Linked DNA regions of Xenopus tropicalis. The protein of the gene in region 2 purifies or fractionates together with the protein of the main gene of each other region. This does not show direct contact. Links are inferred from orthologs where the notes say so. Each region holds a gene or a part of one and is shown on either strand. Other genes may lie near its edges.

The links.
Region 1: the proteins of cdk19 (region 2) and med7 purify together in Homo sapiens (affinity purification with mass spectrometry; 5 studies listed by BioGRID and IntAct, counting the BioPlex papers as one, with this or other methods). This does not show direct contact. The link is inferred for Xenopus tropicalis from reciprocal best matches to the Homo sapiens genes CDK19 and MED7.
Region 3: the proteins of cdk19 (region 2) and med20 purify together in Homo sapiens (affinity purification with mass spectrometry; 5 studies listed by BioGRID and IntAct, counting the BioPlex papers as one, with this or other methods). This does not show direct contact. The link is inferred for Xenopus tropicalis from reciprocal best matches to the Homo sapiens genes CDK19 and MED20.
Region 4: the proteins of cdk19 (region 2) and med13l purify together in Homo sapiens (affinity purification with mass spectrometry; 5 studies listed by BioGRID and IntAct, counting the BioPlex papers as one, with this or other methods). This does not show direct contact. The link is inferred for Xenopus tropicalis from reciprocal best matches to the Homo sapiens genes CDK19 and MED13L.
Region 5: the proteins of cdk19 (region 2) and med16 purify together in Homo sapiens (affinity purification with mass spectrometry; 6 studies listed by BioGRID and IntAct, counting the BioPlex papers as one, with this or other methods). This does not show direct contact. The link is inferred for Xenopus tropicalis from reciprocal best matches to the Homo sapiens genes CDK19 and MED16.
Region 6: the proteins of cdk19 (region 2) and med8 purify together in Homo sapiens (affinity purification with mass spectrometry; 6 studies listed by BioGRID and IntAct, counting the BioPlex papers as one, with this or other methods). This does not show direct contact. The link is inferred for Xenopus tropicalis from reciprocal best matches to the Homo sapiens genes CDK19 and MED8.
Region 7: the proteins of cdk19 (region 2) and med24 purify together in Homo sapiens (affinity purification with mass spectrometry; 6 studies listed by BioGRID and IntAct, counting the BioPlex papers as one, with this or other methods). This does not show direct contact. The link is inferred for Xenopus tropicalis from reciprocal best matches to the Homo sapiens genes CDK19 and MED24.

Annotation. Positions count from the first base shown.
Region 1 is NC_030679.2:14,184,281-14,187,358, forward strand, and holds med7 (mediator of RNA polymerase II transcription subunit 7), read left to right. Parts: upstream 1-1,210; 5' UTR 1,211-1,241; coding exon 1,242-1,931; 3' UTR 1,932-2,578; downstream 2,579-3,078. UniProt on the Homo sapiens protein: Component of the Mediator complex, a coactivator involved in the regulated transcription of nearly all RNA polymerase II-dependent genes.
Region 2 is NC_030681.2:77,212,074-77,216,251, forward strand, and holds the start of cdk19 (cyclin-dependent kinase 19), read left to right. Parts: upstream 1-1,378; 5' UTR 1,379-1,502; coding exon 1,503-1,630; intron 1,631-1,642; exon of another isoform or gene 1,643-1,823; intron 1,824-2,188; exon of another isoform or gene 2,189-2,562; intron 2,563-4,178.
Region 3 is NC_030678.2:70,770,635-70,774,134, forward strand, and holds part of med20 (mediator of RNA polymerase II transcription subunit 20), read left to right. Parts: intron 1-879; coding exon 880-1,133; intron 1,134-3,500. UniProt on the Homo sapiens protein: Component of the Mediator complex, a coactivator involved in the regulated transcription of nearly all RNA polymerase II-dependent genes.
Region 4 is NC_030677.2:145,341,029-145,345,299, reverse strand, and holds the start of med13l (mediator of RNA polymerase II transcription subunit 13-like), read right to left. Parts: upstream 2,801-4,271; 5' UTR 2,601-2,800; coding exon 2,529-2,600; intron 1-2,528. UniProt on the Homo sapiens protein: Component of the Mediator complex, a coactivator involved in the regulated transcription of nearly all RNA polymerase II-dependent genes.
Region 5 is NC_030677.2:100,791,844-100,796,033, forward strand, and holds the start of med16 (mediator of RNA polymerase II transcription subunit 16), read left to right. Parts: upstream 1-1,390; 5' UTR 1,391-1,702; coding exon 1,703-1,838; intron 1,839-3,405; coding exon 3,406-3,513; intron 3,514-3,701; coding exon 3,702-3,871; intron 3,872-4,066; coding exon 4,067-4,190. UniProt on the Homo sapiens protein: Component of the Mediator complex, a coactivator involved in the regulated transcription of nearly all RNA polymerase II-dependent genes.
Region 6 is NC_030680.2:88,535,262-88,539,411, reverse strand, and holds the start of med8 (mediator of RNA polymerase II transcription subunit 8), read left to right. Parts: upstream 1-1,350; 5' UTR 1,351-1,409; coding exon 1,410-1,415; intron 1,416-4,150. Other genes in the region: KICSTOR complex protein SZT2, read right to left, coding at 1,174-1,197. UniProt on the Homo sapiens protein: Component of the Mediator complex, a coactivator involved in the regulated transcription of nearly all RNA polymerase II-dependent genes.
Region 7 is NC_030678.2:112,529,724-112,533,223, reverse strand, and holds part of med24 (mediator of RNA polymerase II transcription subunit 24), read left to right. Parts: intron 1-223; coding exon 224-366; intron 367-3,500. UniProt on the Homo sapiens protein: Component of the Mediator complex, a coactivator involved in the regulated transcription of nearly all RNA polymerase II-dependent genes.

The DNA.
Region 1 (3,078 bases), on a different chromosome or scaffold from region 2:
ATAAAAAGTCACACACATAATGAGTCTTTATATAATACAAAATGCCTAACCCCGCCCACATTGAGCAGAGCCCCAACCCCAAATTGTGAATTAAAGAAAACACATCAGTACAATTAATTAATTGTAATAGTGTTTATTAATTGTACTGATATGTTTTCTTTAATTCACAATTTGTGTATTTTATTACATTAACATTTATTTATAAAGCGCCAACATATTCCGCAGCGCTGTACAATAAGTGGGTTACATACATTGGACATACAGAGTAACATATAAAGCAATCAATAACCAATACAAGAGGTGAAGAGAGCCCTGCCCAAAAGAGCTTACAATCTACAAGGAGAAAGGGTTGAGACACAAGGTGTGGGAATGGGCATGGCCAGAGTTGTGAGAGGTGTGGCACAGGGTATTGCTAAACTAGATTAGGGTAAGCCTCTCTAAATAAGTGTGTTTTTAGAGATCTCTTGAAGGCAGAGAGATTGGGAGAAAGTCTGACAGTTTGTGGGAGCGAATTCCAGAGAAGGGGGGCAGCCCTTGCAAAGTCTTGAATGCGAGCGTGTGAGGAGGGAATGAGAGAGGAGTTGAGGAGCAGGTCAGTATGTGCTATACAGGATACCTCGTTTCGTACGATAATCGGTGCGTGTATGGCATGTCGGCGAGTCGACCGATATCGCAGGAATCTGCTGATATCGGCCGACTCGCCGATCGGACCAGTTTGAAAATTTTGATCGGGCGCCATAGAAGGCGCCTGACCAAAATTCTCCCTTCAGAGCTGAATCGGCAGAAGGAGGTAAAAATCCTATTGTTTCTACCTTCTTACCTGCCGATTCAGCCTTGAAAGGTGTGTGGCGGATCTGACAATGTTTCGTGCGACCGATGGTCGTACGAAACATCGTCAGATCGCCACGTGTATGGCCAGCTTAAGGGTTGTGAAATGGGGTTGGGGCTATGCTCAATGTGGGCGGGGTTAGGCATTTTGTATTATATAAAGACTCATTATGTGTGTGACTTTTTATGGCTTAACATCTTGATAAAGGTCCTAGACCTGGACCGAAACGTTGATGTTTTTAACTTTATAATGTAACAATAAATGAACTAAAAAAATACAGGAGTGCGCATCATCAATTGGAATGCATATATATATATATATGTGCTGCACACACAGGGATTTATATTGTTATTTGTATGTAACTGAATGGGCTTTTTCTTTCTGTGTCACAGGTTCTCCTACTCACTTCATAATGGGGGAGCCTCAGCAGGTCAGCGCTTTGCCTATACCTCCCATGCAGTACATTAAGGAGTACACAGATGAAAACATCCGCAAGGGCCTGGCCCCCAAGCCTCCCCTCCCCATAAAGGACAGCTACATGATGTTTGGCAACCAGTTTCAGTGTGATGACCTTATTATCCGCCCTCTGGAAACTCAGGGCATCGAGAGGCTCCACCCCATGCAGTTCGACCATAAGAAGGAGCTGAGGAAGCTCCTTATGTCCATCCTGGTCAACTTTCTGGATATGTTGGACATCCTGATCCGAAGCCCAGGCAGCATCCGAAGGGAGGAGAAACTGGAGGACCTAAAGTTGTTATTTGTTCACATGCACCACCTTATTAATGAGTACAGGCCCCACCAGGCACGTGAGACCCTGCGGGTGATGATGGAGGTGCAGAAACGTCAGCGGCTGGAAACGGCAGAGAGGTTCCAGAAACATCTAGAGCGAGTGGTGGAGATGATCCAGAACTGTCTGGCATCGCTACCCAATGACCTCCCTCTTTCTGATGGCGCAGTCAGTGTAAAAACTGAACCAATGGATGTTCGGGAACCCTGTACGGACCATCATGCGGGGCCCCAGGAGGCAGCAGCAGCTTCTCTGAAAGAGACCACAATTGATAAGGATGCAGCTATGTGTGTTATCATCGATGAAATGACCTAGTCCAATAAGCAGTTCTAATCAGGACTCTTGAACTTTAGAAGTCACAAGGATTCATTGAAATGCAATAGCATGGCTCTATGTGTTGGTTGTATTCATCATGGGACTTGGCAAGGAAAATGTTTGTCCCAAGGGAACTCAGTCACAGCTATTGCTCATGTACATGTCTGTTTATTGTGCTTTTCTGCCATGCTTTTGAAAAGGCAGTATGCAAGAAGGCTAATATTTTTCAGTGTTTTCCCTGCCAGTTCATGTGTATGAGGAATGGAAGGTTGTAGTTCTGCAACACCTGGGTGGTAACTGCTTATTTGTGATTAAACAGACAAAGGACTGGGGTCAGACTTTTGAATGTTATCTAACTGATATACTATGTATGGAATCTACTCATTGCAAGTTATGTTTGTACAGTTATTCACATGTTCTGAGATATCAAAGTTTATTTAAAAGTTAATATTACAATTGTTTGTATCTTTTTCTCTCTGAATTGGAATATTTTAGTCTCAGATTGGTTTGGAGCATGAAAATCCCAAAATGGGTGCTGTTATCTGTTATAGGAGAAGTCCATATTTTGAAATGCTCGCCTTTACAGTTTATCATGTTTATTTACTTTAATATTTGTATTACTGCATTATAGTTTTAACCCTCTGTCACTTCTAGCATCTTTCCTATTAATTATCCACCTCCATTAAGGATGCTGTGTGCATTCACATTACATGCAAGCTTTCTATCTCCCCTGTGTCAGCCTTTGTGACAAAGCAAGGGTTAAATGACTGTGCTTAGGTTGGGATCAAATTCATGAATGGTAGCAATGAATATACATTTTATCATGATAGGAGGATGCTATGCTGCACTGTAAATAACAACACACTGTGAGCACTAAGGTGCAGGGACAAGAGCTGCTATACAGAAACAAAAACATGAGTACCAGGATCTGTGCATTTACAACATTCCATCCTCATTCTGATTGGTAGAATGGATATGTTTAAGTAAGCTCCACCCTGCAGTCTACAGATGCTGGCCAAAATATTTGGAAGGTAAACTTGTTGGCTGCCCCAGCCAGTTGTTATTTTCAGAAGGGTGGTGCTGTGGGCACCTAGGCCTTATTTCCTAAGGAGGTTGGTGAGATTACAGGAATCCCCATCAGTTGCAG
Region 2 (4,178 bases):
GGGGGAGGGGGAAAGGGCCAGTTGTGTGGAGAAGATGTGGTCTGGGGATAGGCAGGGTGAGTGGGTGAGTGGGTCCTCTAGCTCCTCCAGGGGAAGCTCCCCTTCTTCGAATTCTATCACGCTGTGGTCCCTCTGCAGTAAGCCAGATGAGGGCCCAGCGTTGATGTGGCAGTGGCAAAAAGGGGTCCCGGGCTAGGGGGTATGGTGGGGGAAGGGACTGCAACTGGTGTAGGGGCAAGGGAATGCAGTGGGGGTGCTGACTTCCACTGTGGGGGCCTGTGTGTGGCCCGCCTAGCCTTATCACTGGCTGGGGGCTTTTGTCTTTGAGAAGCATTGGTGGCAGTGGCTGTGACCGCCATAGGTGCCTGGGCCGCAGTCCTGACCTCTGCACGCTGCCTCCTCGAGACTACAGTCGGGGGTTGGGAGGCAGCGGCAGAGGACGTGCGCCTGGATGCGCGTGGGGGACTGGGGCTCAGGCGAGAGGGAGGGCGGGAGCGGCGAGCCGGCCGCTTCCCAGCACTGCCGGCTGCCTGTCCCCCCTGTCTCTGTTCAGTGCTGATGGGGCCAAGTAGCTGTTGTAGCCAGTCGGCTCCATCAGAAGCAATTTTTGCCTGCACCTGCTCCAGTAGTTCCTCGCTCATGCTGGGGTCTGGTGGGGGCTGATGGACACAGGCAGCAGCAGCAGTTGGAGCAGCTAGGATGCCGCTTGGTGGAATCCAGAAGCAGAGTGGCAGCAGCAGCACGGGAATGCAGGCACAGAGGAGGGAGGAGGAGCGAGCAAGGGGGGGCTGCCCTTTCCTGACTGCACTAGCTGGTGAGTTAACCCCTTACAAGCACGGAGGGAACTGGGCCACAGCTGGCTCCACAGTCCCTCCGCGCTTTCATTATTTATTTCAGTGCTCTCTATTCTAGTTGGCAAAGTTTGCAGTGTCATCTATTAGTACTGGCCAGCATTAGGCATGGTTGAATTCCCTGCTACCTGAACAAGGCATTTTTTGCCATGTATTTTAGTTCTATGGATAATGTCTGACTAGTACACTGAAAAAAACACTATTTCAAAGATAAATGTGTTTATAATTGATTGTGTGATTTGGCGCGCATTTATTAACATGAAGGCACTGCATCGCCAGCAATGAAGTAATGAATGAAGTGATAGGCTTTCCCCCTGCCAGTTGTTTGTGCCCAGGAACCCTCCGCTCAGAGTACAGGCCCGGTAAGAAGTGACGCCTCTCAGGCGGGCAGCTTCCACAATTTGGCAGCACCACGGCAGAGCGGGCAGCTGCTGGAAGTGAAATTGAAAGTAAAGATAGAGGGCGCTCTTCCCGCTAAAGTACATGGCATGCGTCTATGTGCAAAGAAGAAGAAAAACAAGGAAATGGTGGAGGGAGAGCCTGGCACTTATTCCATGTAACGACCGGCAGTAGCCAACGGACAGCAAAGGGTTGGGGCGATAGCTGAGCCTTGATGGGTTAAATACGCCCTCGCTCCAGCCGTGGAGGAGGATGGATTACGAATTTAAGAGCAAGCTGTCCGCCGAGCGGGAGAAAGTGGAGGAGCTGTTTGAATATGAAGGTTGCAAAGTGGGTCGAGGCACCTACGGGCATGTTTACAAAGCTAAGAGGAAAGATGGGTAAGAGGCACTAAAGGGAGGGGCGTGTGGGAGGGAGGTGTGTGTTAGGTCACTGTTCATACCTGTGTGCGGACCACCTAGAGCATCGCGCAGTCCTGTGCTTGAGCAGCAAACGCACCTCTCTAGGTGCACACATACCTGCGTGGGTTCCGTACAGTAGAATGCATGTGCTTGCTGCTATTGTGTCTATGAGGTAATTATTGTGTTCACTCATGTCTGTCACAGCCTTGTGTTTGTTATACCAGCAGCACTGCATATACACGTAACCCCCGGACAACGAGGAAAGCCGGAGATGCTGCATTTCTTGTCATGTTAGGAAGTTATTGATGGGGATATTGTGCTAGTTATGTGCTGTTACTGTGTATTTGTAGCTCCCTCCTCCTCCTCTGCACACGCCCGGGATGCTGAACTTGTGCTGGGGGAGGAGGGGGAGGGAGTCTGAGCTACAAATGTTTATGTTGGGGTAATCCAGCCTTGTGGTCCCACCTACTCCGCTGTTCCTCCTCTTCAGTGTTTGCCATAGCACCATGTGTCAATATTTTCTCCCTCGTCTTGCAGATTACCCATTTCTATGGCATTTTCCCTCTCTTTAAAGAGCCAGTCCTGATCAGTAAGGATGCCAGCCCTTTACTGAGGAGACAGTTACCCGCTGGGATTCGTGAAGGGCAGCGGTAGGGCCACAAGTTGAACATCACTGGAGGCTGAGCTGTGTGTATGAAAAGGGCAATTACACATGATATGAAGTGACTGCTTATACTTCAGGCTTAACTAAGGAATAAATAAATGCGTTGTTCTCTAAACTCAGCATAGTAAGACTTTTAATAAAGTTGAAATGATGCTTTGCTTGATTTCATTCAGGTTAAAACATTTGTGATGGCACCTATGTGATTTTTCTGGGATATTTGCTAAATAAACACACGTTCTTTAAAACATTGGCATGTTTGTGTATGTGCAAGATTTTATAATCGCCTCCATGTTTGATGTTTTAGTTGCAGTCTTATACTAATGGCTGTAAGAACTTTGAATTATTTATCAGACAGACATTATTTAGCCCATCTAGCATGAAGTTTTTTTTTAATTCTCAGGACTAAGAATCAATAAAAAAAGCTTTTAAAAAGATGCAATCCTTTGTCAACCCTTTTTTTTTTTAACTCTTGGTTCTGGCCCTTTAGTTATCCTCCAGGGAAGGTGCTAATTCTCACAGTGCTTTGCTCACTTCTTCATAGGTAGAACTACTGGTTTAATGGTGGGTTGCTGGACTGGCAATTTGTACATTCTGCTTAACACCAGAGGGACTGTAAGATGCCCATAGACAGTCACTATTGGGCCTGTGGGTGGCTGTTTGGGCGTCTTAAGTACTTGAAATGCCAGGGTCTGTTTTGTCTTGCAGCCCATACCTGGGCCAGGTTTAGGCTAAATAATACAGATTGGGGACTTATAAGGTATTATATTAGGTTAAAAAAATCCATTAGTTCTGTAGCAGTGACATCACATTACATTGCAAATAGTGCATTGTCTGTTTCTTTTTCTACTGTTTTTTTTCCACAAGAAAAAAATATTCCCCTTTCTGTACCTGTGCACCCTCCATATTATTTCTGTGTTTTTGCTGGAACATTTTGTACAATTCCATGTCCCATTGTTTAACTCACATCCTGCATTAGATTTCCAGCCCATGCATAAATGTCACTCTTTGTATAATGAGTAAGCTTAAATGTTTTCCTGTAACTATTCATTTTTAATTATTATTAATTATTTTATTCTCTGCCCCCTTAGCTAAAGGTAAATGTTCAAAGATTATAACTAGTCAAACTCTTCTGTCTTTACTTTTCTCATTCCCACTGGTGATGGTTTGGAGGCGAGGATCATCTCTCAGGGGCAACTTGGGGCAATTTGATACTCAATGTAAGCTTGTAGTTCCTTGCCTCTTGTACATGCCTTAACATCTAATAGCCCATTTGCTGAGATGCTCACTGAGACAACTTGTGACCATCATAAATAACCCTGCTTATTTTTAAATCTAAGTAATGTAATATTTAGATATTCTTGAAGAATTCCCCAAGTACAGAAATACTTAGTAATAAATTATCTGTTCCACTGTCCTGTCCTTTGTTTACCTCCCATGAATCCTTGTCAATTCTTTGTTTAGTAGTAGTTGGGCAGGTTTGTGGTACATTACCATTAGGGCCATGACAGACGGGGAGATAAGTTGCTGCACGACAAATCTCCCTTGTCGCGGGCGACTAATCTCCCCGATATGCCATCCCACCAGTTAGGGTGACTAATCTTCCGGTCTGTCATGACCTTTAATTACATAAAAAATGGCCCTCGAGCCAATAAAATCTCTTAAAAAACTGGGACCCATGTAACTTTTGGTTACTCTGCTATGTTTGTGTAAACTGTCTGCTGGCTCTTACCTTTGCTAGTATATTTAAATTGTCACGTTGGTGACTAATACATCATTTTCTAATCTTGTAATCTTATCTGTAGCACTTCCTTTCATTGGAGGATGTTTTGAAATATTTTATTTGCTTGTAGAACTGTTCACTTC
Region 3 (3,500 bases), on a different chromosome or scaffold from region 2:
ATTCTAATTTTTAAAAATGATCTCCTTTTTCTCTGTAATAATAAAACAGTACCTTGTACTTAATCCCAACTAAGATATACTGTAATTAATCCTTATTGGAGGCAAAAAAGTCTATTGGGATTATTCAATATTTAAATAATTTTTAGCAGACTTAAGTTTTGGAGATCCAAATTACGGAAAGATCCCTTATCCGGAAAACCCCAGGTCCTGAGCATTCTGGATAACATGTCCCATACCTGTATAAGGTTTGGCAAGATTGAACTATGTGGAATATGTTTTAAACATTTTGCAGGGAAAATATGTTAGCTATCCCTATGTTCTGGATGGAGCCATCTAGCCCCACCATTCCAAAACGCTTACTTCAAATGATCGTGTCATGTCACCTGTGAAAATACTACACGTTACTGTAGTCTGGGCTATCAAACAAGTCCATCATGTGTGAAATAATGTTCCCACATCTCAAATTTCTGCAGTGAATAGGAATAAATGCAATAAGTATGGTAAACATGTAAAAGGCTCTGTTTGGCCTAGATCAGAATCATTTTATGAAAGTTGGATTGTTTGATTAAAGGGATATTGTAAAAGGAACTTGTATGTATGGTCTGTTTGAAAATGATAAAGTTATCCTGGTTAAAATAGCATTGTTTTAGAGAAAGTAATTTTTGATAGAGCACACAAATTCCATATAGATATATGCTTGGTTCTGGAATACTTACATTTTGTAATATAGTAGAGATACAATTTAATGTTCTTTTATATGCTCTCTGTCTCTGTTCATTTCTTCATTTGTAGGCAACCTTTCACAGTTCTCATCCAAAATTGCCATGTTGTATATTCCTAAATTAAAGAGTATTTGCATTTATATGCTCTAAATTTCAGGTCAGGCTGGGAAGCTCCTCTATGTTATGCACAATTCAGAGTACCCTCTCAGTACATTTGCATTATTTGAGAATGGTCCATGTCTAGTTGCTGACCTAAACCTGGATGTGCTTATGGTAAAGCTTAAGGGATTCTTCCAGAATGCGAAAGCCAACAAGATGGAAACACGTGGCACGCGTTACCAGTACTGTGACTTCTTAGTCAAGATTGGCACGGTAACAGTGGGACAGAGTGGTCGTGGAATCACTGTAGAGGTAAATATGTGACAAGACACCTAGATATTTTCAATATTAATGAACAGCACTTCATATTATGATATTTTTATGCATAATAAATATAGAATAGTATAAGAAAATGATCCTTAAATCCTTGATTCTGTCACGATTTTGATGGTGTACTTTTTATTTCCAAATGACTGGTTTACATAGCAAATAATTCACTCTACTATTTAAAATTGTATTCTTCAAAGAACAAATGTATTTTAGTTGTCATATTGATGTGTAGGCAGCCATGTCAGTGCATGTTCCTGCGATGAGCTTTAAGAAGGAGCCAGCGCTACACATTAGACCTGCTTTCAGGTAACCTAATGTTTCTCCTACTTCCATGTAATTGGAGGAGCTTGAACTACAGAAGTCATGAGCCAGACTTTTTTCACTATTGAGTGCTATTCTATCTGCCACTTTTAGCAATACAGGTGTCAGGGAGCTGTTTACTTGCTAACTTCCCATTGTTCTGCTGATCACCTGCAGCTCTGATATAAACTGATCATATTTTAAGAGTAGAAGCCATCACTTGGATACTGGGGTTAGGTTTGTGCTTTCAAATTGCGCAGAAGATGATTGCAGGTTTGCATTTGCAAAACTATCCAGCATTCCCTTCTTTTGTCATGACATAACGATCACATGCAAGCACAGGAGATGGTCATGTTTTGTGGGTTAGCGGACAGTGCATATGCAGATCCAAGATGGCAGCTGTGTTCTTGAAGGGAAAAAAACATGGAAAAAATGGGTTTTGCAAGAGGCATGGGTGAACATTAAGTTGGGAAAGTATGGGTTTGGGTACCTTCCTTATCCTTGTACCAATGCGCAAAGTAAAGAATGTTTTCAATATAGTTAGCCAGAACACTACTTTCTCCTTTACAGCTCTCTAAGCTGTTAGCAGTCAGTAACCAATCAGCAACTTTAGGGAGGGCCATATGGGACATAATGGTTCTGTTAATTTTTTTTTTTTTTTTTAACATTGTTGTTTAAACATTTGTTTATTTACATTTTTTCAGACATTTCTATTTACAACATTTGTAATGGTATTTCACTTTGCTTACATATGTCTTTTAAGCAATAAAGTGTTTGGGACATTTTTAGGTTAGAGAGCTGAAAGCAGGAAGTAGTGTTCTGTCTATTATGTTAGACATCTGCTCACTTTAGCCTAACTATATTAGAAATATTTTTTATTTAATGGTCTATTTTACCCAGTTTCATTTTCACACTGAACTGTGCTTTGAGGGGATTATGTAATAAAAGTCAGTAAGTTTTCCTAGGAGCAATAACCCTTAGCAACCAATCAGCAGGTAGCATTTACTGGTTACCTAGTCTAAGGGTGAAGACACACGGAGCTACTAGTAGCAGGTACTTGTCGTGGCTACTAAAATGCTGATCATTTACTACATGTATTTTAATTTCACAGTATTGCCTATGGCAGGGTATTTTCTGGTGTTTAGAAGCCATGGAAAGTAGCTGCTGCTAAGTAGCTCCATGTGTCTTCACCCTTAAGGAAACATCTTATTGGCTGCTGTTAGTTAGTGTTTGCTTCTTTACAAACTTAGTGCCTTTTATTATAAATGCTGGTTAGAGCCAAAAGATTTTTTATTAGTGCATATGAATTTTCTCGGGTGCTGACTCTGCTTCGACTAACTGCTTGTGTATTATGTGAAGTAAGACCCCCTAAATGTACAGAGACCCACAGAAAACCATATATTCCTGGAAAGTACATATTCTGATGGATCTAACATGGTTAAAGAGGCCTTTCTACACCAAAGTACTAATCTGTAAAGCTTTTCTAAAGTTAGCATTTTTCTGACAAAAGAAAATCACCCCAAATATGAATATCAGAGGTCTACTGAACAGTTTGAGGCCAATATGCATAGATTTACCAAATTATGAGGTGTACAGAGGAACCCAAATGAAAATATGCACATGAATTTTCTCAGCTACCAACTCAGTTTCTGAAAATAAGATCCCCTGTTGCGTATTATGTGTTGTAGACCCCCTAAATGTACAGCGACCCCTGAAAATATCCAGCATGGGTAAAGAGTCCTTCCTACACCAAAAAATGTTGCAATTTGTCACATTTATCTCACACAGTTTCTTGCATACAAAGGCAAATCACCCCAAATATGACTAAATATAACACACACCAGAGGTCTACTGAACAGTTTGATGCCCAATATGCATAGATATACCAAAGTCTGTGGTATGTACGGACCCCAAAATGAATAGTGCGTATGGATTTATCACCTGCCAGCAACAGAGCACCCTGACAGTGTATTATGTGCCATAAGACCCGCTAACTGTACAGAGACCCCCAGAAAACCATATGTTTTTGGAAAAGACACATTCTGATGA
Region 4 (4,271 bases), on a different chromosome or scaffold from region 2:
AAATGACTGTCTGATTAATGTGCAGTTTGGTGTATTAAGTGTTATCTATTTCCCACAGACAGCTAACATATCACACTGACTTATGGGAGCCTCCCAAATGATGGTGCACATGGGCTAGTGCTGATACAAACACTTACATGATCTCACAGGTTAACAAAAAAAGTTTGAGGGGTAGGAGTGGGAAGTACAAAATATTATTGCTCAAAGCTTCACTGCAAAAAAAATGACAGCTGTATATGTGTGGGTCCTTTATGCACATAGAAAAATGTTTGTGGTCAAATACAACAGTATCCAACATAAGTCCATTTTCCCACAGACAGTACAAAGAATAACAAAGTAAACTAAAATATCTGATCAAGGACAGTTAAGCTAATTCCACACACACCATTTTCTCCTCCAGCAAATCTCTGTAAAGTGGAGAAATATCTGGTTCATCTAGTGCAGACTGAAATAGACTTAAATGGCAACTGGCTGTCACTACATATACAGTGCGGATTTCTACACAAAAACTTCCCTGCGTGCACAGCGACAGTCAGTTAACATTATTGTCATTGCCAGTCTGCGCTAGAGACATCCAGCAGCATTGTTTTGCATCATTGGAGAAAATACCACTAGTGACTTCAGCCTTGCATTTGGTGTTCGTCTCTGCCCCCAAATGTCCCCTGGGAAATTGTTGCCAATAGAGCCAACCTGGCTTCATTGAACAGCACATAGACACAGAACAACATGCCCACATGTGTTTCCTTCCACAATGCACAATCATTTAAGCAGGTTAACAGCCTCCTCTTTGCTTTGTAATGTACTTAAGACCACTATAAAAAGAAGCAGTACATATAAATCAATAAAACTAAGATGATGACAAAGTGATAGCCTACAAAAAAGTGCTACTCAAAACTCCAGACTGGTAACTATAATGTAATGTTTCATGCAGCTATAATTTGGACTGACAGCTCTTCTGTTACACAAAGTTCAGTTCTTTGACTGAATAACATTAATTTTTTTGTCACTGGTATAAACAGACATTTGTGTACTTAAAGGACATGCAAAATAATGTTTTGCTTAATAAAACAAAACATAATTAGAACCAACTTTCCAATAAGTTTCTAAAAATTTTTTACATTTTTTAGCATTTGCTGAACTCCTGGTTGTTATTTTTTAAACAATGTTGCAAAAGCCAGTCTGCTCCAGCAAGGCAGGTCTGTCAGTCTGCTGGCTTGTGTTAAATTGTTTCAAATGCCAGAGCTCCAGGGCAGAGAATAGAAAAGGACTGGCAAACACTGCTTTAATAGCAATTCTATATACAAACAATTCAAAAACCATTACAAACTTGTAATGAATATACATTGCAAAGTTGCTTTGAATTATGTTTTCTTTTACTAGGCAAAAATATTTTGGGGCTGGACATGTCCTTTAAAGAAACAAGTACATACAAGGCAAATCAATCTGGGCAAAAATAAAACTACCAATAGAAAGCACATCCTCGTATATCTCACCAGGCCTCCATAAAGAATCAACCAACTAAAGCTCAGGATAAATATTCTGAAAGTTTCAATAACAACTATTCTTAAAAGTGTCTTTACCAATGGACTGTAATCTGAAAACTTGCAAAAACCAAATGAAATGTATAATATGAAACATTGTCAGCAATAAAATGCACTAAATTGAAGGACTAACTACAACAGGTCTTACAAACAAACAAAACCAGGAAACACTTTAATACCCTAACAAAAACACAACATTTTCATGGAATACAGTATCTAGTAGAATTAAGTCTAAAACAACTGGACTTTTCTGAGTTTTTCTTGAAAACGTATCACCACTCATCCAAGTGGCTTCTTCAGTCATTTGAACTGAAGAAGCCACTTGGATGAGCGGTGAAACGTTTTCAAGAAAAACTCAGAAAAGTCCAGTTGTTTTAGACTTAATTCTACTAGATACTGTATATCATGACCTGGATGAATGAGAATCTTCATAGACATTTTCATGGAAGCTGCAGCTTTTCATCCAGAATTTTAATGACACTCATGTCTCAATAAACATATACATATTGAATAATCTAGCAATTCATATCAACAACGTAAACAGTGTAAATAGCAGTTATTATAAGTAAAGATGAGTAGGAAAATACTACAATCAAAGAGATACTTTGATGACAAAAGATTCTGTTTTTGCTGCCAATGGGAAGGCTAAACCAAAAGCAAGCATCCTCCAGACACAAAGTGGAAGTGGTCCACAAACAGAATAAAGAGATGTCTGGTGCAACCCATGTGGAGAGCATATTCCTAGGGCTATGTAATAGCCAGATGTAATAGCCAGATGACATCACCAATATGACAAGGACAGAGAGAGACAATTCAGCAGTTAGAAGCCATTGGCAGTGTTCAGAGCAGGAAGGCCCTTGGGGTGTCTACCCTGAGCCCCCCCCAGCTGTCCTTGAACTACAACTTCCAGCGCCTAAGTGCTGCTTAACAACAACTGGAGGGCTTCAGGATGTGGAGCCGTTTAAAGGGGAAATAAATGGCATTTACCAATGAGAAGAGGTTAGAGTGACAGTCCTCCAGGCTCGCCCCGTTGGCCGCCCAGTTAGCCGCCGCAGTCATGATCCACCGGGAGCCTGGCTACCAAAGCTGAGCATGACTAAAGGTCTCAAATGAGGGGCTTCCGATCAGAAAGAGAGCAGGCAGTGTCCGATCCACGCAAGATCCGCAGTTGGGCTGCGAGTAGAACTAAGCTCCGGTGACTATGGCCATGTCCCGGGAAACCCCGAGGGTGCCGAGGAAAACCCTGACTTTCCTGATAGTCCGGCGGCGCAGAGCAATGAGTCACCCGGGTGGGGGAGGGGCGCTCCGGGCCGGGGGATAAGAGAGGAAGGAAACAGTGCGGCCTCCCCCTGCTTGTCAGGGAATGCAGTGCAAGTCCAGCAGCCAGGCCGCCCAGTGCCAGGATACCGACATCCAATACTGCAGGCTTGTCACTGGCGGCGTCAATACCCCGACACCGGCTCCCACTCACTCAAATGTATGCATGGGCGCCCACAGTGCTGGGCACAGGCCCAGGAGCCAAGCGGGCAATGGGTAGTTAGGGCCCCGCAGGTACCAATCCTTAGCCAATGGGATCCTGGTGGTGCCAGATACAGGAGCCCCCACTGGTGCCACTCATGGCACAGGACACGTTTCCATGTCAGTCACATGAGAACCCGCAAGCGTCTGTCATTGAGGCGCCTGTGTGGCCAGCGATGCCCCCCTGCTCAGATGCCCGCCGCACGGATATCTGGACGAAGCGACAGATGTACGGTTCTCGGTCACAGAAGGAGGCCGCGGGATCCTTGTCCTCTTCCGTGGTGAATGCCGCGCAGCCTGTGCTGTAAGGCCCTGGTCTAATCCTGCGCAGAAGTCACTAGGGCTTCGGAAGGTTCCCTGTCCCACCGGCTTCACAGCTGACTCGGGCACGGGCTATCCCGCCGCTCTCCTGTGCCTCACACACTGACCGTAGGTTCGCCTCTCTGACAGCAGCAATGGCGTCCGGTTGCGACAACACGGAGCCCGATTGGCAGGAGCCGGTCACGTGGCGAGGAGGGGGAGGCAAATCGAGCCCTGTGTCTACAGCAGGCCTCTGCCCGAATGTTCCGTGCGACGCCAGGCGAGGGCGCTGTGTGTATGGGAATCCTGGGCGAGAACATACAGCCTATTAGTAGTACAATCAGCAGGGTTATTGTACTATATTATTGTTATCCGTTTCGCTATTGTGCAATGGAATCTGGAGTACCTGTTGTACTGCGCTAATCGATCATGTTCCCTTGCAGTCTTTTTTACTTGTAATTAGAATTGGGATCTTTGCCATGCATTTACTTGGCTACTGATGGTATCTATTTATATATTGCTGTCCCATCTTTTCTGCCTTTTATATGAACATTATTTTCTGCACAATATGGGACATTGATGAAAAATACCGGGGTTACCATTTTTAAGCACAATCGGGCGCATTAAGTAAAAATATATATTTTTTTATTATTATTTAACAGGGTAATGAGGTTCATAAACCCCTGTAAACAATGAGCACCTCCTTGCAAAGTCTAACAATGCTCATCCAGTTTATCTCTGCAGTCTCTGAAACCATCAACTATGTACTTGTAGAAATCTTCTTGTACTCTACTGGAATTCCTGAACCATCTTTTTATGGTTCAAACCTTTCTGACAGTGGCAGTCCTAGACCTTGTGTTTTTTTGAAAGGACCTGGTGTTCAATACAAGCACTACCCACCCATTCTGTTCC
Region 5 (4,190 bases), on a different chromosome or scaffold from region 2:
ATGGTCTGCTCAATATCTCCATTGACTTCTTTGTAGATACACTGTGTATCTCATCCCACAACAAGTGGGATGAGACACAGTGAAATCTCACTTTTACATTCCCTGATTTTGCCATATTTCACATTTCCACAATCATTTTTTGGAGGGGTCTGGCGCACACAGGTACCTGGCCACCACCCTGGCAAATATTAAGCAGCGGGCACCCTTAACTTTATCAATGAGAGTGACTATAGAGCAGGGGTGGGCAAACTTTTTGGGTCAGGGGCCACATTGACTAACAGACGGGCCGGACCGGGCCGGGACAGCGTTACGCCCGGGGCTGCCATCAAAAATTATGGGGCCTCTCAGCTCCCCCCCAGCATCCTTCATGACCTGCGGCTCCCTCCGCCAGCGACCCGCTGCTTCCTCCGTCCCGTCCTTCTGTTCCCCGGCTCCCCAGTGCATTCTTTTATATGGTTGCGCCCCGTGTGTGCTGACGCTATGCGCATGCATGGGGCGCAACCAATCAGGGCCCGTCATTCTTTTAAGGGGGCCGGAGACAGCGGGCCATAGTTTGCCCACCCCTGCTATAGAGGAACCAGACCCTATGGTCCAGGCTGCCCCTGGTGCCCCCCCCCCAACCATGGTGTCTGCTTCCTCTATAGTTACACCACTGACTGTAGGAAGAAACCATCTTCACAGCATAATAAAGGGGGGAACTAAAGATTTTTAGTTTTTAAATCATAATCCTGTGTGTGTGTAAATCTATATATATATATATATATATATATATACACAAACACACACACTGTTCACAAATACACATTTTTTATTAGATGAGTGGAGAATATATATATATTAAATTAAAATAGTCCCAAATTACATTTATTTCCAAAGTAAAGTGTGAGCAAAATGTAAATGTAAAAATAGAAAGGTTTATTACTCAACGATTGGGTCTCACACAGAAGCCTTCATCTGGAGTGAAAAACAAACTAAATACATATATATATATATAAATATACATGGTTTGTTTTTCACTCCAATATCCATTTGATAAGATAAGTGCAAAATATGGAACGCTTCACGAATTTGCGTGTCATCCTTGCGCAGGGGCCATGCTAATCTTCTCTGTATCGTTCCAATTTTAGTATATGTGCTGCCGAAGCGAGCACAAACATACCTTAGCGCCGGTTCTTATTTAAAGCCCCTAGCTTTTGATTCGGTTATATTGGAGTGACAATTTTGTATGTCTATATGTATATTTACACCGAGCAGCAATAAATATTACTTGATATTGTTTTATTTACTGGGTACATGAAAAACAGAAGAGAAAGATTGAATTTATAGCTGCAATTTAGGCATTTGCCACGATGCACGCCGGGAGAGGTCGGCATGCTAATCTAAGGATGACGCCATCGGAAAGCGACATTGAGACGCTTATTCCGTGAGACGCACTAATGTAGCCGGGAACTTTCATTACTGGTTTTACGTAGAACCTTGTTATCCTACGGGATTCTGGAACCAGCAGTAACCAGAGCAGTTTAGTAGCAAATCCCCTACGCAAGGTTCTAGCATATTTTCGCTTTTTGACGCTTCTTGTCGTCCGCCTTCGTTTCTTATAGCTGCAGTCAGTCAGTCCATTCCCAATGTAAGCCATTGTGTTTCTGTTCCCCCGATCTGTAGCCCTTCTCCCATAGTTAGTAGGTGCGTGTTTGCTGTCAGCATGGATGTGGGGTACGTATGTGAGTGGGACAAAAGACCACGGACCAGTCACTGCCCATCAATCCCACTAGTTTGCGCTTGGTCTTGCCGCAATCTTATTGCTTTCACTACAGATCAGCGCAATGAGGAGGAGAAAGGTAACATCTTTTTGTTATTACAGCACCGCTCTGTGAGTGTGATTATATGTGTGTGTATTTCTATTATTTAGTAACTGTTATATGTCTACTTTTCTCTCTCTATCTATAATGCATAAAACAATTAAAAGACAAACCAAAATGAGTCTTACCCAGTGTTGGACTGGATACCAGGAGAACTCATGGTGGGCCCAGGTGTCAGTCTCCTGCTCCTGATCATTTGGCCTGTTTCATGGTCATTCCCTATTTCTGAATGGGAAGAAAGTCAAGAATTAGATGGAAGAATAGATGCTATGTAAATAAAAGAGACTTGGAGAATAAAGTGGTTGGGTGGGGAAGGAGGACAAATAATTTGGAAAGTGGGTCTAAGGTTTTCTTGTGGGTCCCTGGGTTCCCAGTCCAAAGCTGGTCTTACCAAAGAGCTTGGATTGCTTGGATTACATTTTTATATTACCATGTTTAAAATGAACTAGGTTAGTATATTAAGGGTATTTGGGTCACTAGAATGCATAGAATGCAGATAGATGCATAGACGCAGATAAAAAATTAAAGCATCTGAATCTATAGGCATACACATTACGGTTAGGCAATGCCTTTTACATTACATTAACATTTATTTATAAAGCGCCAACATATTCTGCAGCGATGTACAATAAGTGGGTTACATACATTGGACATACAGAGTAACATATAAAGCAATCAATAACCGATACAAGAGGTGAAGAGGGCCCTGCCCAAAAGAGCTTACAATCTACAAGGAGAAAGGGTTGAGACACAATGCCTTGCACCAATATAAAAATAGAAAGTATTGCTTGTAGTGGAAGCGTGGCAGCTTGAGACCTAGGTGCACAAATTCAGACCCAGGAATGTGTTACTGCAATAAATTCTACTTTTTATTTAATGTCATTCTGTGCCACTTTGTATTGTGGGGAAAAAAAATTCTGCACCTTACCCCCCCTTAGTAAATAATCCCTGCCAGCAGGCTCAGACTGCCAGTCTGTGGGTTCTGGCAAATGCCAGAGGGACTGCTGAAAGATGCCATAGACAGTGACTGTGTAGTAGAGCGCTAGTTGGGGGCTATTTGAGCTTTTGTGTGCTGAAAATGCTAGGGCCTATTTTAAATCTCAGTCCAGAGCTGCCTACTAGAATGTTAAGTGAAGAAGTGTGTATTCTCTCACAATAGTTGGGTCGTGTGAGCTGTAAGAAAAGTGCTTGTTACTGAAAAAATGCTAAACAATTGGCTGTAGTTAGCCCTCCTTCCCACCCCCATTCATTTACCTTATGAAATTTACATTGAAGTGCAAAGAGTTCATCTGTCTTCTATTATCTTTCTAAAAAGTTCAACTGTACTCAAAATCAGGCGTTTTACAATGCACAAATTTAAGTATATATTTTATGCTCTCATTGAATATATTCTTATTCGTTAAAGCAAGTATAATTTGACCATGGAGAGTTGCAACATTGCATAATTCTCACCAGATTGTTTGTTTTCCAGGGTTTTGATAAATTAAAAAGTGTTTTTACAGGAATATGGATAAATCTGAAATAACTTGATTTTTTTTCTTCTCAGATATCACTAATTTGATCCATATCCTCGACACAGAACATCCGTGGGATGTCTACTCTATTAACTCTGGGCACCAGGAAGTTATTACCAGCTTGGAGTGGGACCAATCTGGTACAGTAAAACAAATTGCTGGGCTTTTTGATAATAAACAAGAAAACCATATAACTTAAAAGGGAAGGGCAGAGAGCAAAGGGAAATATGAAGAAACAAGATAAATGTGGGAAGCAGAAAATGAATCCTTGAAGGGACATAGACAGTAGTGTTTGTAACTGTTGCTTTGGTTTTATTGGTATTTTTAGGTTCCCGCCTGCTCTCAGCTGATGCAGATGGTCGAATCAAATGCTGGGGAATGACTGATCACTTAGCAAACAGCTGGCAGAGTCTTGTAGGCAGCGAAGTGGATGGAGATCCCATAGTAGCTCTGTCTTGGTTGCACAATGGAGTCAAACTTGCTCTCCATGTTGAGAAGGTGGGTGAGATAACAATGAATATTTACATTAGTATTTATATTTAGTTGTTTGTATGCTCTTTTCTTTCACTTCACTTCACTTTGCTTATCCTTTTTGTTGTTAAGCAGAGACCATTATTTCTTTTGTCCCCTAACCATTATTTCCCTTTAAGTAGGCATTTACCACCCTTAATACTGATCTTTTTTCTCCTGCAGTCTGGTGTTTCCAGTTTTGGAGAAAAGTTCTCACGCGTGAAGTTTTCCCCATCTCTTACTTTGTTTGGTGGAAAGCCAATGGAGGGTTGGATTGCAGTCACAGTCAGTGGTTTAGTTACAGTGT
Region 6 (4,150 bases), on a different chromosome or scaffold from region 2:
TTTTGAGGGTAAAACCATACTCCATTTATCTATTCATACGTAGGAATATTTGAACTTCTGAATGCCATTCTAAAAGTGATCATACACACGTGGATGTCTCCCTTTGGAAATCACGTGGAAATCTCCCTTGTCACGGGCGACTAATCTCCCCGATATGCCATCCCACTGGCTAGAACGTAAATCACCGGTGGGATGGCACACGCGGTGCAGCGATTTGCCAAAATTGTTGAAGTTGCATTGAGAGGAAACTTCGCTGATTTTGGCGCCGCATATGCCATCCCATCAGCGATTTACATTCTAGCCAGTGGGAAGGCATATCGGGGAGATTTGTCATGCAGCGACTAATCTCCCCGTCTGTCACAGCCCTTAAACTGCAGATTTAGGCCCTTCAGACTGATTCGGCAGCTCAGCCATGGGGCCTTCCATTGGGCCTACCCAACTGATATCTCCCAGAAAATCCACCAGACATTGATAGTCAGGTTTGATTCAAGGACTGCGTCAGCTGATTGCCTGTGGCCAATCAACTGGATTAGCCCAATATCACTCACCTTAGCTGGGCATATTGGGGGAAAGATACGCTGGTTTGACAACCTTGGCAAACAAGCAGATTTTATGGCGTATAGCCGGCTTTACTTTGATTTCCACAGCAAAAAAAAATGATCAAATGTTGGTAAAATGCTTCCACATGAGTTGTATATATAAACATGCATGTGTTATCTGCCTTAGTATTTGCATGACACAATACAGATATTTCATTAAGAGCATAGGAAGTTCGGCAAAACATCCATTTGGTTCATAAGAAACTTAAGGGTCGCACATCTCAAGTGGGGACAAATTGCCTGCTCCAAGAGCAAGCAGAAGCCACACAACAGGATGTCCTGAGACAACATATGACTGATTTCTCCAAACTACAATAAAAACTCTGCTTTTCTCGGAACAGCAGCTCTATGCATGTTCCCATAGCTTGGTGCAGTGACTTATAGTGTAACTGCTAGCAAGCCACAGTTTAATAATCCCTAGGATGTTCGGAATCAGCCAAAGGGGGCTTACTCAGGTACAGACGTGTAATGTGTGGCCGTCACTTTAAGGAAGGAGTGGCTACAACAGACCGGCTACAAATAGCGGCGTATACTTTCGCATGTACTTAATATGTACACAATCCCCTCTTTGTACCTCTGTATCTCCTTTTTCTGCCATGTCCCCAGAAGTTTCCCCCCACCCCTGTCTTCGGGTCTGGGGGGCGGATAGGCATTCGAGACTGGAGTACACAAGTCCTACCCCCTCTGACCCGGAATTACTCTTTTTTTTCCAGAGGCGAGCTCTTACCCGGAAGTGCTCCGTCTGAACGTGGAAGAAGTGACCGGAATCTTTATAGCCCTAAGGAGAGGGATTTGGCGGAAAACGTGAAAATGCAGGTAAGATTGACATAAGACGTGTTTCATTAATGTTTATGTTAGTGCAAAGGCGGAGTGGAATTGTTTTCGCTAATTTGTATGTAAATATTTAGTAGCTGTTCTTATCAAATAACGCTACTCCGTCCGTAAAGTAGACCTTTTGTGTCTGCAATGAGTAGTACAACTGACATTTAGGGGCTGATTTACTAACCCACGAATTCGAATCCGAATTGGAAAAATTCCGATTGGAAAACGAACATTTTGCAACTTTTTCGTATTTTTTGCGGTTTTTTTCGGCGCCTTTACGACTTTTCGGAAATTGTCGCGACTTTTTCGTTACCAATACGATTTGCGAGTTTTTCGTAGCCATTACGATGCGCTCGTATCTTGTCGCGACTTTTTCGTATTGAGCGCTCGGAAGCGGCGGCCGAAACTTTCAGACTTAGCATGATTTTGGAAGCCTCCCATAGGACTCAATGGCTCCCTGCAGCTCCAATCTGGCCCATACTGAAGCTTGAATGAATCCGAACGCTACGAAAAAATCGCAACATTTTGCGCAACTTTCGGAATGGCTACAAAAAAAGCGCGACTTTTCGCGTAAGTTTTAACGCTACGAAAAAATCGCCAGATTTTGCGCAACATTCGGAATGGCAATGAAAAAGTTGCGATAATTTTCCGAAAAATCGCCAAATACCGATCATTACGAAAAAAACGCAATCGGACGCATTCGGCCCGTTCATGGGAAAGTAAATGTGCCCCTTAGTATTTTACAGAAAGATATAGTCTGTTATTTGGTGGAGAAGGCAGTGATCCTGAAATTACATTTGAAATCCAGTCACTTATCAAATCATGTCACTTTCACCTAAGAAATAGTTCCAAAATACAATCATTGATCACCCAAGATGCTGCCAAAATTCTTATTCACTCTCTTATAATATCTCGCCTGGACTACTGGAACTCTCTGCTAATTTCACTAAATTCACTCTGTTCTTTTGCAATTCCACTGTAGAACTACAAATCTATGGCAGCTATTTAAAAATGCACTAACAATCCAACTGATGCAACACCTTCTCCTGCTTATAATAATTTAAAAAAAAAACCTTAGATCCTTTCTACACTCCTGTTGCTTTCAATAATTAAGAGTGCAAACTACCATATAATATTCTTTTTGGATGGGTGCTTCACAGCTTAAACATTTGCCAGAGGTTAAAAAAGGCATAAAAACAAAGGTTAAAAAAAGGTTTATTCATACGAAAAAGATATGGTCCCCATGAACTACATGGACTGAAAGCCAACACATTCAACAATTCAACTAGACTTAAAAATGGACAATCCCAGAAAATAAACCCAGACATCAGGCTCAGAACAAAAGGAAAAATAAATTTATAATAATGATTAGGCGAGAGTCCAACCTTATCCTCCTCCCACCCCCTATACTGCTGTTATGAATTGGACCCATTTCTTTGTTACTCTCCCAGTTCTCATGCAATTTCACTGTCAAATTTGCAGCAGACCTATGGTAGATATGGAAATGTGTACATATTCTTTCTCTTAGTCTGCTCATTTCTACTTCTTCTAACAGAAATTTATCACTAACAGCATCAAACTGACATCTAATTTCATTCAGTTTAATTTTCACTTCTCTTTTTCTTCTGACATGCTGACTGCTGTTACCTATACAGGTATGGGACCCATTATCCAGAATGCTTGGGACCTGGGGTTTTCCGGATAGGGGGTCTTTCCGTAATTTGAATCTCCTACCTTAAGTCTACTAAAAAAATTATTTAAACAGTAATTAAACCCAGTAGGATTGTTTTGCCTCCAATACGGATTAATTATATCTTAGTTGGAATCAAGTAAAAGGTACAGTTTGTTTTATTACAGAGAAAAAGGAATTATGTGAATTATTTGATTACAATGTAGTCTATGGGAGATGGGCTTTCCATAATTCTGAACTTTCTGGATAATGGGTTTCTGGATAAGGGTCCGATACCTGTACCAACAATCTATTACATTGTTGCGCTTCAGTACTTTTCGCATTGGGCCATCAACTATTTGAGTCAGTCCACCAAATTTCACTTAAGGTCTGTGTCAGAAGTTGCCATTAATTTGCACCAAATATTGCAAAATTGCACAAATTAATTTTCCTGCTCTGCTGCTTTCCATTACTTATAACAATAACCAATCACATGGACAATCTTTAATACTACTGCTGCCATTAAGCTTACATCCTTCTGCAAAGTTAGTGGTAGACATATGGCAGCTTACATAAGAAGTTCTTAATTATGATTAATATGGACAGTAAAACTGCCATAAACATTTTTTGCAATTGCATCTTCTTTTCTGCTGATTCCCAGCACATGTGCTGCTGTCCATTACTGAGTTTAGATGCTGACTCAATATTCTGTATATAGAGAATATAAATGTCAAGATATAAGGGTAATAGTAATACCCTTATATTACTACATGGCAGCTCTGAAACCAGTGCAGCTAACAACAGAATTTAATAATCAGCCCTGCAGGCAAGTTTGCACAACTTCAAAAAAAACAAAGCAATGCATAGGCCTTTCCACCAGCAATTCACTTTATTGCTGGTGGAAAGGCTTTTTGGGCAGATTAGTTGCAGTAGCAGAGATTTATCGCGGATGACTAATCTCCCCGTGGGCCAATAACCTTAGGATGAAGGCCCACGGGGAGATTAGTTGCCTGAGGTTAAATCTCCTGCAGGAAACTTCATGCAACTTTGGAAAATTAAG
Region 7 (3,500 bases), on a different chromosome or scaffold from region 2:
TAGCAGTTTGCCATATGGGGGTCGTGCAGTATTTGCGGCCAGCAAATGCATATATGATGCCCAGCTGCTCATTTTCTTATCTGAGGGTAACCACAGATTCAGTCTTTATCACTTTTATTTTATATGTAATCCAGGTCAGGTTTCCTTATTATAAGTGATAGCTGCTATGCCTTTATTACATATTAATCCTCCTACTCTGTTGTGATGATCTTATATTTCACAGACAATGGATGCTGACCATTCAAAGTCTCCAGAGGGTCTTCTGGGAGTCTTGGGTCATATGCTGTCTGGCAAGAGCCTGGACTTGCTATTGGCCGCAGCGGCAGCCACTGGGAAACTGAAGTCTTTTGCCCGCAAATTCATACAGTAAGTTTTAAAATAACATTTTGAAGGCAGTTGAAGTGTTTGTGTCAATATGGAAAAGCTATAGGTGTTTATTCTGTGCAGTCGGTACATAAATACTTTTGACTCCGACTCGTCAGTTCATGGTACCTTCAACTATTTTTTTTTTTTTTTTTTTTTTTTCAAAGGTGTTTATTTTGCATTTGTAACATAAAACAACATAAAACATTTGGCATTGGTTCTACAAGCGTGTTCTTTTCATGCCAGAATGTAAACAGTACATTGGGTTAGATAATCACCTTCGACTATTTTTAAAGGGATTCTGTCATGATTTTTATGGTGTACTTTTTATTTCTAAATGACACTGTTTACATAGCAAATAATTCAGATACGTACTGGGAGCTGCTATCTTGCTCCCTTCCGATCGGCTGCTGATCGGCTGCTGGGGGTGGGATATCACTTCAACTTGCAGCGCAGCAATAAAGTGTCCCTAAGTCTGAGCTTTCAGAAGCGCTACACATTTGAACTGCTTTCAGGTAACTTGTTGTTTCTCCTACTGCCATGTAACTGGAGGAGTCCCAAGCCAGACTTGGATTTCTTACTATTGAGTGCTATTCTGATACCTACTGGGAGCTGCTATCTTGCTCCCTTCCCATTGTTCTCTTGATTGGCTGCTGGGAGGGGGGAGATATCACTCCAACTTGCAGCGCCACAGTGAAGTGTGACTGAAGGTTATAAGAGCACAGGTCACATGGCACCCTGGGAAATGAAGAATATGGCTAGCCCCATGTGAAATTTCAAAATTAGAATCCATGTTAGATCTGTTTGTGTTTTTGAAAAATGGATTCAATGCAGGATTTTGCTGGAGAATCTCCTTTAACTGATGGGTTTTGTAACAAATATGTTTCCCCGTGATAGTATTCCTTTAATATACTAATGCAGGGATCTTCAAGCTTTTTAAACAGGGGGCCAGTTCATTTTCCCTTAGACTGTTGGGTTGCTGGACTATAGTTTGAATTTTTTTTTTAAAAAACCACAAACGAATTGCCATGCACACTGCACATATCTTATTTGTAGTGCAAAAAAACATGAAAGGGCAATACAATATTTAAAATGAAAAACAATTTTAACAAACATAGACTTCAATGGGAAGCATGGACCTGGTTTTGGCTGATGAGATAGTCCGGTTCCATGTTTCTCACTGCCAGTCATAACAAGTGATGCAAGTGTTCATCCGTTAGTCTGGATCTGGTTGGCGATTTCAGATGTTTCATTCTGGAAAAAGTCTGTTCACAGACATAGATGCTGCCAAAGATGGTTGTCATTATGAGTGAATGATTCCTGAGATTAAGATATGTCTCAGAGGGGAGAAATGCATAGAAATTGTAAGGCTGCTTGATTTCAATACGTCTTTCAGAGAGTCACAATTCTGTAGTTCGGCCAGTTTCATTTGGTAAATCGGATTAACAATTTCAATGTCAATTGAAAATGGGTTCTGTAAAAGCTGTATGTTAAAACTCCCTTTGCAACATTTTCCAGTGAATCCACACATTTTTTGTTTGGGTATGGTTTCTTATGGTTTCTCAGCTTTTGCGTAGTGGGGTGATGGCAGAAGTTTTCCTCCTTTACTTGTTTTAATAAGGAGGTCCAATTTTACTTCAGATGTTTTCACATGTGAATGTATATCACAGATGAGCTTCCCCTTTCCTTGAAGTTGCACATTGAAACTGTTGAGTAGCGCTGTTACATCTGTCAGAAAGGCAAGGTGCCACTTCCATTCTGCATCTGGTACAGAAAAGCAGAAACCCGTGGAAGTAAGGCATAAAAACATTTCAAAACTCTCCCTCGATGCACATTTCTGCGCGGTACATAATATCTTCATAGGCAACATTCAGCTCAGAGAGAAATTCCTGAAGCTGTTTGTGGTTTACGGCACGAGCCCTAATGAAATTAACACAGTACACCACAACTTTATGAGTTGCACTTCAGTGATCACAGTAAATCACAGCGCTTGTTGATGGATGAGGCAGGATATCACTATTGGACGCGAATGGTTGTGTTTGTCCATCTCTTGGTCATAGACCCCACCATGCTAGGAACACCATCAGTTGTCTCACTGGCTAGTTTAGCCCAGTCCAGCTCCAAATCATTCACAGTTTGGTGAACCTTTCATAGATATCCTATATGTCGAGTTTCGTAGTGTCAACGCAAATTCATTCTTTGAACACAGCCACTGAATCCTGGCATACCAGACAAACCGCTCTCTCCTTGCACTGCATGAAAAAGTAATCGTAGGTCCACTGTTCTTTGAACATCCTGCACCTGGAGTCAGTTTTTCTTTTACTTGACATAATTGTTTCCTAGGGATGCACAATGGCTATTACTACTTTGGGATGGGTGCGCGTAGCTATCACGTCTGCTGCTGGCCTGTGTGTCTGGGTACTGGGTGGTAATGAATCCACACACTTTTTGTTGGTGCTGTGGCATTTAAAATTGACTCTTGGACATTTAGTGCTCAGCATTTTCAAACAGCAATGGTCTAACAAACGAGTGTACCCACACTGGCAGGGATTTGCCATAACTTAAAGGAAAAGTAACACTAAAATTTTTTAACTAAAAAAATCTATTCTACCCTCCCCCAATAATTGCCCTATCCTGAAAACCATTTGTGATTTTGAATGCTTTAGTAGAAAATACCTGTAAAAAAAACTTGGCTTCCTGTCATTTGAACAAAGGCGATACGGCGATGCCGGGGAAAGTATCAGGAGATGCATGAACTATGCGGTGATCGATTGATCGATCCTAGCCTGACTTCTGTATAGGAAGGAGTCAGGCTAGGCTCGATCAGTCGATCACTGCATAGTTCATGCATCTCCTGATACTTTCCCCGGCATTGCCGTATCGCCTTTGTTCAAATGACAGGAAGCAGAGTTTAACAGGTATTTTCTTCTAAAGCATTCAAAATCACAAATGGTTTTCAGGATAGGGCAATTATTGGGGGAGGGTAGAATAGATTTTTTAGTTAAAAATTTTTTAGTGTTACTTTTCCTTTAATGAGGGGAGTGTTGGATCATTTTGTGCTCTCTCCACTAGGCCACTGAGTGCTGCAGGGCCAAATGTTTAAAACTGCCCTGTGAACTCTTGCCTTTATGCCATAC